Saccharomyces cerevisiae S288C: one gene and its partners. Changing the gene in region 3 together with the main gene of any one other region gives a genetic interaction. Each region holds a gene or a part of one and is shown on either strand. Other genes may lie near its edges. The genes, in order: PAU5, RTT102, YMR084W and AIF1.

Region 1 (2,775 bases), on a different chromosome or scaffold from region 3:
TCCACGATGTTATTTTACTTTATAAAGCACCTGCAATTTTTTTTTTTGTATTAACTCATCGAGTATGTCTGATGTGTAAACTGAACCAGGCTTAATATCGTTTCTAATTCTTGTTGTGAGAAAACTTTCCTGCCTAGTGTATTTCGTCAGGGCGAACCTTCGGATAGGCACCGAACTCCGAGATTCTTGCTCCAATTTAAGAAATAAGCTTTTTCCGTCCCAATACAATAGAACATTATTAAAGTTAATAATAAAAATGGCACGGCACCAGTTGGAAGTTAAATCCCAACATTTGCTGCAAGAATAGAAAAGAAGTCATAACAAATTTGCATATTACTTACGGCTTCAAAAAAGCACCGAAACTAATCGAGAAAGCTTATAATATCGGTATACATTTGAATGTATTTTAACTATTTCTATATCAAAAAAAAAAAAAAAAATTGTATATTTTTCGTTATTCTCTAATTCGTATCACATTTTATCCCTAAGGGAATCTATCTCTAATTTGCAATAGTGTAGATACCGTCTGCGGATAGAGCGCTAGAGATAGCTGGCTTTAATCTGCTAGAGTACCATGGAACACCAGTGATAACTCTGGTAACTTGGTCGGCGGGAATACCAGTCAACATGGTGGTGAAATCACCGTAGTTGAAAACAGCTTCTGCAATTTCAACTGGATAAGTTTCAGTTGGGTGGGCAGCTTGGAAGGAGTAGTATTCAGCCAAATGAGCTCTGATATCGGAAACATAGACACCTAATTCAACCAAATTAACTCTTTCGTCAGATTGAGATAGTGTAGTGGTTGCTGCAGCGGAGGCACCAGCGGCAATGGCGGCGACACCAGCGGCGATTGAAGTTAATTTGACCATTGTATTTGTTGTTTTTTGGGTTGTTGCTTAGTGGAGATATAAGCTTAACTGGAAGGAAAAGAACAGAGAAATGTCTCAAACAAAGCTGATCAAACCGCTGTATTTATATAAATTTTTTGAGCAATTACATCCCAAACAGGCTATTACTGGTCACTCATTTTGCACTCATATCTCACATATTCTAATTCCTGGCCACTTAGCCATTATTACTATGGGGGTGTATTTTCCTTGAACGATGCTGCACTTCGTATAAGAAACACGCTTCATATTCCCCATATCTTCGTATGTTTAGAGCGCAAGAATGTTCCTTACAGTAAAGGTGCCTTTCGACCTGCAGACACAATGTTAGCCAAGTAATAGAAGCAAAGCCAATATTGTCTTGGCCTCGTTCAATTGCCTAACCCTTGGCACTAAACGGTTGCTAGGAGAAAAAACACGGACCTTTTCCCAAATTAGAAACACTAAAAAATGTTAATATGGTACTAGTCGTCGTACCCTGCTGAAATCATAAAAACCTTACGCCATCTGTGGGACTCGTCATAGGGTTTAGTGTATATTGAATGTTGGAAAATCTCTCGTTCTGATATGCCCAACAAACCAACAATGTACAATGTGAGGTTTCTACAAATCAACAACTATGGTTTCCCCTAATTCACTTGGATTGATTGGTTCTAGTGAAAACTTTACCTGTTACAAAGTTTTGAATCATTTTAATTAGATATCGTGTACCGAACAGTATCTGATTCGTATAAAAAAAGGAATATTGAAGGTCAGTTATCCTAGTGACAGGTGAAAAAAAATTGATATGTATGCCCTTTGTATTATCTTTGGGGTGGAAAGAAGTGAAAACAGAAGCAAATTGGTTTTGCAGTAAGTTTAGTCTTTTGACCTGTAACTGGTTAATTTCGAAATGACTGGTGGAGCCTGACTCGAATATAGAGCAAAGGGAGTCTTTAGTAGTATATCTTCTTACTTCGATGATATTTGAATAAAGTTCAACTATCATCTACCGATTAGTATTCATATTACTACTATATTATAATATGGGTGTGAGAATATGGCGTAACGTTTGAGAGATAGTCTCAGGTGTAGTGGAAGCTGAAATTCAGGGGAATGATGTTGTAATGGAATAATTAATGACAGGATATGAGATGGAAGGAAATTTAATTATATTATTACATAGAAATATCGATTTCCTTTTGTGAATTTCTATATCCTCGAGGAAACTTTCTGGTATACTTTGTATACTAAATTTTATAGCCTTTGACAACAACGAAATCCCAAAAAGTATTTCATAATTCATGTACTTACGAGAAGAAAAATCATTGCCCTGCTAGTGCTTCAAAAAATATAATTGGGAGCAACTAAAATCTCCTTGCAATGAGTTACAAGGAACAGATTCTTACCGGTAGTCCTGGTGAGCAAAAGACTTAACCATGTGGCAGCCGTTGTCTAATATCCACTAGCTATACACTTACATGGAATATTGGTTGCTGAAATAATTAGACTTAATGGTAGCAAACGTAGTGGTCATCCATATGAATATATGAGCAAGAAATAAACGTGAACATGTAAAATAGTAATACAGACACCATAATGTACAGGTTAATCCTGATATGTTTCTCGAATGAAATCGGGAAGACTAATAGGAGGCTCAATTCTATATTCACTCACGTTATGCGCCTGAATTTGAATGGATATTGTTGATAGAAGATTCCCTTTAATCACTCTCCTATATAAATATTTCTGTTTTTCTTATTAACGCAACAATAATTCGGGCGTGTGGTCTAGTGGTATGATTCTCGCTTTGGGCGACTTCCTGAATAAACAGGAAGACAAAGCATGCGAGAGGCCCTGGGTTCAATTCCCAGCTCGCCCCCTTTTTTTTGCATATCTGGTCATAATA
Region 2 (2,753 bases), on a different chromosome or scaffold from region 3:
TTAAAAATCATACTGAGGACGATTCTAAGGGCCAGTTAATCCGTTGCGTCGAAGATGATGAGACATGGACCCATATTCACGAGAATCTAAATAAAGATGTCAAACTTATTGTGGGGAGAATCAAGAACTTAGAGAGGTCACGCAACTATAATAAAAAGCCACGGAAGGAAACTCCTTCGTTCGATGCGTCCATGGTTCTTCATGATATAGGGCAACATCTAACACAATTATACGAGAATGCTACACCAGGTACTATGATTTTGATCATGTCGGGTACAGGCGACACAAGACCATGGAACAATCTTTCAACTGAGTTAGAGTTTATTCAAGACAAAAAGGAAAGATTAGATAAAAGACGCGAAAGGGAACCTGAAATAGTAGAAGCCATAAAGTTAGCCCGGGGTGGTGTAGCATCCTTTACTGTAAAATAATTCTATGTGTATAAATATATAAATATATATATATATATATATATATATATATGCATAATACTTTTCCTTTTAATTCATTTTCACATCTTTACTCTCCTTTGTATTATCATTGTTCACTCCCGCAGATAACCCAGGAATGGCTTCACTATTACCGACAGCGCCTCTTATATCATCCACACTAAGAGCTTCATCTCCTTGATTAGCAGAAGGAGCACCGGTGGCCTTACTTGTATCACCCTTAGTGTGCGATGTCATCAACGACTTTTTCAGTATTCTTCTATCAAATTCTTTCAAATCTAATATATCCTCACAGCTCTCCCTCTGTAGATTTTTCTCATCTTCCTGGTTCCTCAACCATGTTTTATACCTGAATGGATATTTCTCCAAGTTATTCTCCATGTCCCCTAGCTGTTGTTGTGGTTGCTGCACATTGGAGCTCACCTTAGATGGTTGGTACCAATCATACCTCCATGATTCCTTACTCGTAGGGTTGCCATAGTAAGAAACCTTATTGGCCTTAGTAATGAGCGTCTGTGGGTCCATTTTCTCTATCTCTTGCTGACGTAGCTCTTTCTTTCCAACATTAGGTTTTATCGCCTTGTTCATTAATAAACTAGTCGATAATTTCATTTCGCGGCGATGGTTTTCAAATGTGCTTTTAAGAGAATAAATAGCATTTTAAACACAGAGAGAAAAAGAAGTACAACAGGAGTATAAGGCGATATGGTAAAGCAGCAGGGATCCGGCAAGACCAACTTGGCCAACGAAGATGAAGCATATGAAGCTATTTTTGGCGGAGAGTTTGGCTCTTTAGAAATCGGGTCATACATTGGCGGGGATGAAGGTGCCAATTCAAAGGACTATACGGAGCATTTGCCGGATGCTGTAGATTTTGAAGATGAAGATGAACTTGCTGATGACGATGACGATTTGCCAGAAGAATCTGATGCTAATTTGCATCCAGCTATGATGACTATGGGCGCGTATGATGATGTAAACGAGAACGGTGCCGTACTCGGTATCGACTCAAATAGTTTGAATATGCAACTGCCTGAAATTAATGGTGATTTGTCTCAACAGTTTATTTTGGAGGATGATGGGGGTACTCCCGCAACTAGCAATGCTTTGTTTATGGGAATGGATGCAAATGAAATTCATCTCGCCACTGAAACTGGAGTTCTTGATGGTAGTGGCGCAAATGAAATTGGGCATTCTCAACTTTCCATTGGTGGCGTTAATGGAAATGATATGTCGATAAATGGTGGATTTATCATGGAACCAGATATGTCAGATGGCAAGCATAAGAAAGCCACCAAATTAGACTTGATAAACCATGAGAAGTATCTTCTAAAAAAATACTTTCCTGATTTTGAAAAGGGTAAAATTTTAAAATGGAACAAGCTGATTTATAGAAGATCTGTTCCTTATCATTGGCACAGTGAAATATCTAGGGTAAAGAAACCGTTTATGCCTTTAAATTTGAAATTCAAGGTTCAACAGGATGATAAGAGGCTATTCAACTCAAGGACAATATCTTACGTCGCTCCGATTTATCAAGGGAAAAACAATTTACTTCAAAGTAACTCTTCTGCATCCCGAAGAGGTTTAATTCATGTTTCCATTGATGAACTTTTCCCTATCAAAGAGCAACAAAAAAAAAGAAAGATTATTCATGATGAAAAGACCATATCGGAAGACTTGCTTATTGCCACTGATGATTGGGACCAAGAAAAAATCATCAACCAAGGTACTTCATCAACAGCAACCTTGGCGGATTCGTCTATGACACCCAACTTAAAGTTCTCCGGCGGTTATAAATTGAAGAGCTTGATTGAGGATGTTGCTGAAGATTGGCAGTGGGATGAAGACATGATCATTGATGCAAAATTGAAAGAGTCTAAACATGCTGAATTAAATATGAATGACGAAAAACTGTTGCTGATGATTGAGAAAACAAATAATTTAGCGCAGCAAAAGCAACAACTGGATAGTAGTAACTTGATATTGCCCCTCAACGAAACTATTTTGCAACAAAAATTCAATTTATCTAATGATGATAAATATCAAATCTTGAAAAAAACCCATCAAACAAAAGTTCGTTCTACCATCTCGAACTTAAATATTCAGCATTCTCAACCTGCGATTAATTTACAATCTCCATTTTACAAAGTGGCTGTTCCTAGATACCAGTTGAGGCATTTCCACCGTGAAAACTTTGGTTCGCACATCAGACCAGGTACTAAAATTGTCTTCAGTAAGTTAAAAGCGCGTAAAAGGAAAAGAGATAAAGGTAAAGATGTCAAAGAATCATTTTCTACATCT
Region 3 (3,280 bases):
CGTTTACTGGAACTTCCATTAACTCCTCAAAGATGGGACGGGCAGCTAGGCATGAATGGAAGGAGGCCTTGGATGCAATCATTATTATTCGTTTTGCTCTTCTCAATTCTGTCAACCAATTTTCTAGTCCTCCCAAAACTACTCTGTTTGTAAAGGCGTCAACTCTTCCTCTCATGACATTTTTTGTTGTTTCACACTGCTCGTATATTTCCTTTTGCATAAAATTATCGTAAGGGCCTTTTTTGATTTTGGACAACTCCAATTCTAATTTTTGAACTGTTCTAAATGAAAAGTCCTCGGAACCAATTTTAGAACAATGGATATGAAGCTCCCCATCATAGATATGGGCAATATCATTATCCTCCAAATATACTACTTTACTCACATACCGCGCTAGTGATGCACAATCGGATGACAAATAGAATTCCATGGGTCGCGGCAAGCCGTTCTCGGCTGGCGTTTCTGTGGATGAGCCATGATTGAATGTAGAAGTTGTAGAGTTTCTCAGGTATTGTGAACGAAGGGGGGTGACTTCCTTAAACAAGTGTTATATTTTACAGGTGCGGCAGCCAAGACATTACCAGAACTCTTGGTTTGAGTATTAAGCTTCAAGTAGTCTTCTTCTTGATCCAAATATTCCACCTCGACAAAGTTTACGTCCATGTCAGTTTTACCTTTAACACCAATAACTAACGGGGAACCCTTTCTTGCGGCAACCACTTCATCGGGAAAATGAGAAGAAGTGCATAGCAGACCATAAGAGCCTTCCAATTCTTTAAGTACTAAATTTGTTAATACATGGAAATCGAGGTTGTACCCGAGTTCAATGCTTGTATCATAAATGTGTTTGTACAGTTTAGGAATACATTCGGTATCAGTGTCACTTTTGAACACATAGCCCTTTGCCATCAATAAGGCTTTCAAATTAGCGAAGTTGGTAATAACCCCGTTGTGTACCACAACAAATTCATTAGATGGATCTGAGTTATGTGGATGACAATTTGCACGTCTTAGCCCTCCATGTGTTGCCCGCCTAGTATGGGCAATGCCACAATGCGAAATAAAGGGCAGGTTCTTATTAAGATTGTAAAGGTCGATTTCTTCCTTCAAACTGCTTATTTTACCGGTTTGCTTATAAATATTGAGAGACTCCAGCTCATCACCTTGGATCGAAATTCCACTGGAGTCATATTCCTTGTACTCCAATGCCTGTAACCCTTCGATTAAAGTGTCGATGATTTCTCCTCTTGTCTTCTCAATTAAAAAATTGCAATAGCCAAAAATGCCACACATTCTTCTTCTTATATTGGGTTTTTAATCTAGTTTATTGGATCATCTTTTGAAAGTCTTTTTTACAAATTCCTTTTGTTTTATAATTTAATTATAAATGTTCAAAGACGTTTCTGAATTGTAAATATAATTCAGGGGACGGCATCAGTTTGATTCCATACACTACGTGCTAGTCTAGCCCAGCATGACTAAAACGAAAAGGGGCGCCTTTAAAAATGAGGAAGAAATCCAAATCCTAATGACCTTCAAGCGCATTTTTGGGGCTGATGTTTTAGTTCGAATGTCTCCTATTGTTAAAAGAAAGACTGCCTCTTACCTGCTTTGAGAGAGGCTGATTATTAAGAACACAGGACCCTTAAATCGGCGGCTTGTGAAATTTCTCCGAATTAAAATTCTGGATGTTCAAGAAAAATATTCTCTTCGGCCCTTTTATCGTGAGAGTAATATCGAAGTGTGCAAGGAAAAATCAAAAACGTGAAAAAACTTATACGGTTAGGTTTGGGCGGCTCGATGCTTGATGGTGATAATGTCTCTCAAACGTTCTATGTGTCGACGGAAGCCAAATTTGGGCTATTTCCATTATCACTACTTGATATAGAAAAAATACTGGTACTGCTTCTTGATTTAGTGATTAATCTTTGCTCCACTATATATTTATAAACCTCATCATTATAAACAAAGACTTTCATAAAAAGTTTGGGTGCGTAACACGCTATTATTTACTAGTATCGACGACGTATCTACCCAAAATCTTGCCCTTTTCCATCAAGTCATAAACCTTTGGTAATTCAGATAATCCAACAATTTTGATTGGTGATTTGATCAAACCTCTGCTAAAGAAGTCTAAGGCTTCTCTCGTATCAGCTCTGTTACCAACATAAGAACCCTTGATATTGATGGACTTCACCACATGAGAGAATACCTCTGATTTAACGTAGGCGTTAGCGGGCAAACCAACCAAAACGACGGTACCACATGGTCTAACATATTCCGTAGATAGAGAAATAGCGGCTTCAGAAACGGAAACGTTAATGACACCATGAGGGCCACCTTTGGTAGCTTCTTGAATGTCAGAAACCATATTCTTTGTTTTAGTAAAGTCGATGAATACTTCACCCCCCAATTTCTTGAAAAGTTTTTCCTTTTCCTCACCTGCATCAATACCTAGAACTCTGTAACCCATCGCAGTTGCATATTGAACGGCCAAGGAACCCAAGCCACCTGCAGCACCAGAGATGGCAACCCAGTCACCAGCTTTCAAGTCTGCCTCTTTTAGTGCTTTATATACAGTAACACCAGCACATAATATTGGGGCTACTTCGGCCAAGTCGGTACCCTGTTGAATTTTGGCGGCTTGAATAGCATCAGCGGTCGCAAATTGTTGGAAAGAACCATCATGAGTGTAACCAGATAAATCAGCATCTGGACAATTTGATTCATGACCTGATTCACAGAATTCGCATGTCATACAAGAACCGTTCAGCCATTTGATACCTGCTAAATCACCGACTTTCCAGCCCTTGACATTGGAACCTAGTTTGACAACTACACCAGCACCTTCATGACCACCTACTAATGGTAGTTTAACAGGTAATGGCCAATCGCCGTGCCAAGCATGTAAATCGGTGTGACATACACCAGAATATTTAACGTTGATTAAAATTTCATTTGGCTTAGGCTCGGGGACAGGGATATCTTTGTAATGCAGCTTCCCCTTATTCTCATAAAAGATGACACCTTTTTGAGTCTTAGGGATTGCAGCTGTGGATTGCAATCTAAGAATGTTTCTAGAAAATAGGCTTGGTTGGACACGCCTGGTGAACAATGTTGACGTTCTCAACATGATGGTGTTAACTTATGACTATACTATTCCTAGTTTTAACTGTGAACAGAAGATAATATATATATATCCATGTATAGTAAATTCGGTCGAAGAGATAAAGCGAGTGTTCCTTTCTAAAAGGGTTTGTTTAATTTTATAAGACGAAAA
Region 4 (3,478 bases), on a different chromosome or scaffold from region 3:
TTTATTGAGCATTCTAATGCTTTCTTTTTCCCAGCACCTAAACCACACAATACTTTACTCCAGTTCCGTATTTGCCCCTCCCATGGCATCACGCCTATACCTTAACTGTTAATTCTCACCGTCCCCATTATACTAGGTTTAAAAAAGAAGGTGGTCAATCCTGTTGATATCTGTATCTCTATATAACAAAACTTCGGTATAAAACATTCACACTTCGAGTAAAATCAGTACCTATCTTCATGGACCCTCCAAAATGTCAAATTGTTATCAAGCGATTGATAACTCTAATGCACAGGTGTAATACCGTTTTACTACTGTCAAAGAAACTACATATAGTGTGAGAATCCAAAGCTAACATTTTCGAGTAACTTCGGGTTTTAATAGATTATTATCTGAATGCGAAGTTCAACATTTGTTGTTTCCAGCGGCCTTCTTTGTTTCACAATACAGAAACTAATATATATATATATATATATATATATACGCTGCAGTTCATATTTTAGTCTATTTTTTGAATAAAGGTTCCATTTTGTCGGAGAAAAGATTCTTCGACTTTGCTCTAGAAATTAAAAACGATGGAATATTAATCGTCCCAAGTAACGGTAGTGGAAATTGGCCAAACCCTGCATTTGGCCCAAGGGAGACACCACTTGGGGCATGTCCTGTCTCAAGACAATCTGCATCAACGAGACTAGCCTCTGTTCCTTCTTGTAAAGAACTTATAACATTTCGGGTCAAAACATCAACCCAATTATCTCTTTTAACCAATCCGTGATATCTAAAATTCGTTACATCACCAATGGCAAAAACGTTTCCTGCCTCAACAGCTTTTACCCTGAAGTTTTTTTCAACTTGAATGAACCCTTTCTTGTCACAAAGGTCTGAAATACTGTTGACCGGCACATTTGGAGAAATACCAACGCCTCTGTAAATCAAATCAGCATCTATATATTTAGATGAGCCCTCACCTAGAAAAATACGTTTCGGCGAGGTGTCTAAAGAAGCCCCTACTGTGTTCAAGTACAACGTAATACCATTTTTTGAGAGATAGTCTGTCACATTTTTTCTTAGGGTATCGTTGTATAACCCAGAGTCCGGCAGTAGCTTATCGGAATTATGAATAATGGAAATACGCTTTTTGCCAGACCTGATCTCCTCCAAATACTTGAATAACAATTCACCAGCTAGTTCACAATTAACAAAGCCACCGCCAAGAAAAAGTATGTGATCTGCATCTGAGATTCGAGAAGCCTCTCTTTCAAAATACTCTTTATAGTTATCCCCGAAGGTATAAGTTGAACCAATTGGATCAGCCCACTTTGAGCCAGTTGCAAGAACCAAGATATCAAACTTTATGGCCCTGTCTGACCCCAAAACTACCTCCTTATCATCAAAGCTGGCAGCCGTATCTTTGATAACTTCAATACCACTATCAAGAACATTTTTTAACGGCAGGATCGACTTGGTATAATCCTTTGAAACCGTCAAACGGACAGCTGAGGGTAGAAAATACACATAATTAGATGCTGTGACGAGCTTTATTGCGTATGTCCCACCCAGTTCCCTGTACAAGTGATTTGCCACAGACACACCAAACACACCAGCACCAACAACAACTATGTTCTTTGTGTTAATTGTCATATATTTTGCAATTTCTTTCTTCCTTTCTCTGCTCTTTCCTGTAAATAATGAAGAACAACGATGAGGAAATGTGTGTCTATCAATGATTTATCACTGCTTTCGTTTCTAGTCTGCAGCAGCTAATATATTAATACTTATAATAGGCTTCATTTGTCCAGCCAGATAAAAAGGACTAATCATGCAGGGTGGACATTCAATTAATTTTTATCGCTTTTTAACGATTACTAATCCAGTATTACCAACTACAATCACTCAGTCATGTATCACTAATAACGAAAAGTAAGCTGTACAATGCTCATCTTCCTAGCACTACTAGTACTGCTACTATGAGACACCATTGAAGTCTTCTTCAAGACCCCCATTATGAGAACACTTGGCTCACTATACAATCGGCGGGAGATGGGTTGTTATTATAGAGAGTTTCAGGAAAAGCACTCCTAGATTCTAGTCAAGTACTGCCTATTGTATAAGAGACGAGGGCACGAGATAGCGCAGTATTTTATGATGAAAATATGAAAATAAATACTTAACTCATTGAGTAAGCTTAGCTGGGCAACTTAACTAACAGTCAAAAAAAAAAAAAAAAAAAAAAAACAAGAGCCAGCAAACTGACATTAACATTGATCAATAAAATAAGAAAAAATGTACCAGAGAATTCGATTATGAACTGATGACAATATCATTAAAGACTTTGCACAGTATTCAAAAACTAATCGAGAGCTTTGACCAAAAAGTGTCCCGACTTTATAATGAGACCGCCGCTTAATTCATAGGAGTTATATGGTATGCTTTGGAAAGCTATTACATTGTTTGATAATTCAAAAATAAGCCACAATACTTCACCTATTGTGTACCATGTATTATAAAACATCGCAGCTCGTATCTGTAAACATACATTGACTTACATTTTAGTGATAACTTGGGTACTTGAGTGAAGTCCATTTCTCCCGTGCTTCCGGAACATAAACCAACATAGATTCTCTTTCACTCGAAACTGCTCGAAGCTGTTGCTCTTTTTTTGATCGTGGCTTTAACTATAAAACTCAACAGCTGCGTGATGAACGCGCTGTCAACAAATTTCATCTTGCGAATTATATAAAAAACACTGCGAGTGATTAAACCTCAGTAAACTTGTTACGTACCTCATAACATTAATGTGAAATACACTATATTGAATATGGGGGAAGAGATTAGACTTTTGTCCTCTAAAGGTCTTGAGACCCATAGTAGCTTTTGTTTGCCCGAGGATATTTTCAGAAACCGTTTAACATGGTTGTGCAGTGAGATTCGCAACTCAGGATTTTGGATCTGGTCGCTATCATGGTTACCGCTTGCCGTTTGGTGGGGGATGGCCAGTACTTGGTTTTATCCCCTTCTGACTTCAGTAGTTCTAATCCTGGCGCTAATTGCTATTTTGCCAGTAGTTCAAATACAGTACAGTAAATATACTTTATCAAATCAACTCACCCAGCTTTCTAAAGAAATCATCAAAAGTGCACCAGGTGCATACTCTGCTGATTGGGACGCTGTTGCAATACATTTCAATTCCTACTTGTATGAAAACAAAGCATGGAAAACTGCACATTTTTTTTTTAATGGTACTGACTGCCAAGAAGCATTCAGGAAAACCATTCTAGAGCCAGCTGTTTTGAGGAGACAAAACGAAGATCCTAGGTTCAGTTCAATTGAGATTTTGGTCCCTTACACCGAAGACGCGGTGCAGGTTTATTTTACAAAAGTAAACGCACAGTGGAGGTTGATCCATGGTAAGAAGGAATGCAAACTTACTATGTTGGAAAATGTCAAGCTTCCTAAGGAAACCTATCGCTGCAAGCTA

What was found.
Region 1: mutations in YMR084W (region 3) and PAU5 together harm fitness more than expected from each alone (negative genetic interaction), as found in Saccharomyces cerevisiae (one large-scale study listed by BioGRID).
Region 2: mutations in YMR084W (region 3) and RTT102 together harm fitness more than expected from each alone (negative genetic interaction), as found in Saccharomyces cerevisiae (one large-scale study listed by BioGRID).
Region 4: mutations in YMR084W (region 3) and AIF1 together harm fitness more than expected from each alone (negative genetic interaction), as found in Saccharomyces cerevisiae (one large-scale study listed by BioGRID).

Annotation. Positions count from the first base shown.
Region 1 is NC_001138.5:98,731-101,505, forward strand, and holds PAU5 (seripauperin PAU5), read right to left. Parts: upstream 870-2,775; coding exon 501-869; downstream 1-500. Other genes in the region: YFL019C (uncharacterized protein), read right to left, coding at 1,522-1,875.
Region 2 is NC_001139.9:1,041,497-1,044,249, reverse strand, and holds RTT102 (Rtt102p), read right to left. Parts: upstream 975-2,753; coding exon 501-974; downstream 1-500. Other genes in the region: RNH70 (Rnh70p), read left to right, coding at 1-431; TAF1 (histone acetyltransferase), read left to right, coding at 1,155-2,753. UniProt on the Saccharomyces cerevisiae protein: Probable component of the chromatin structure-remodeling complex (RSC) which is involved in transcription regulation and nucleosome positioning. RSC is responsible for the transfer of a histone octamer from a nucleosome core particle to naked DNA.
Region 3 is NC_001145.3:434,641-437,920, reverse strand, and holds YMR084W (putative glutamine--fructose-6-phosphate transaminase), read right to left. Parts: upstream 1,294-3,280; coding exon 505-1,293; downstream 1-504. Other genes in the region: YMR085W (uncharacterized protein), read right to left, coding at 1-430; alcohol dehydrogenase ADH3, read right to left, coding at 2,006-3,133. UniProt on the Saccharomyces cerevisiae protein: Involved in amino sugar synthesis (formation of chitin, supplies the amino sugars of asparagine-linked oligosaccharides of glycoproteins).
Region 4 is NC_001146.8:777,098-780,575, forward strand, and holds AIF1 (Aif1p), read right to left. Parts: upstream 1,642-3,478; coding exon 505-1,641; downstream 1-504. Other genes in the region: COS10 (Cos10p), read left to right, coding at 2,819-3,478. UniProt on the Saccharomyces cerevisiae protein: Putative FAD-dependent oxidoreductase involved in the resistance to cercosporin and other singlet oxygen-generating photosensitizers. Translocates from mitochondria to the nucleus under apoptotic conditions, where it degrades DNA and induces apoptosis.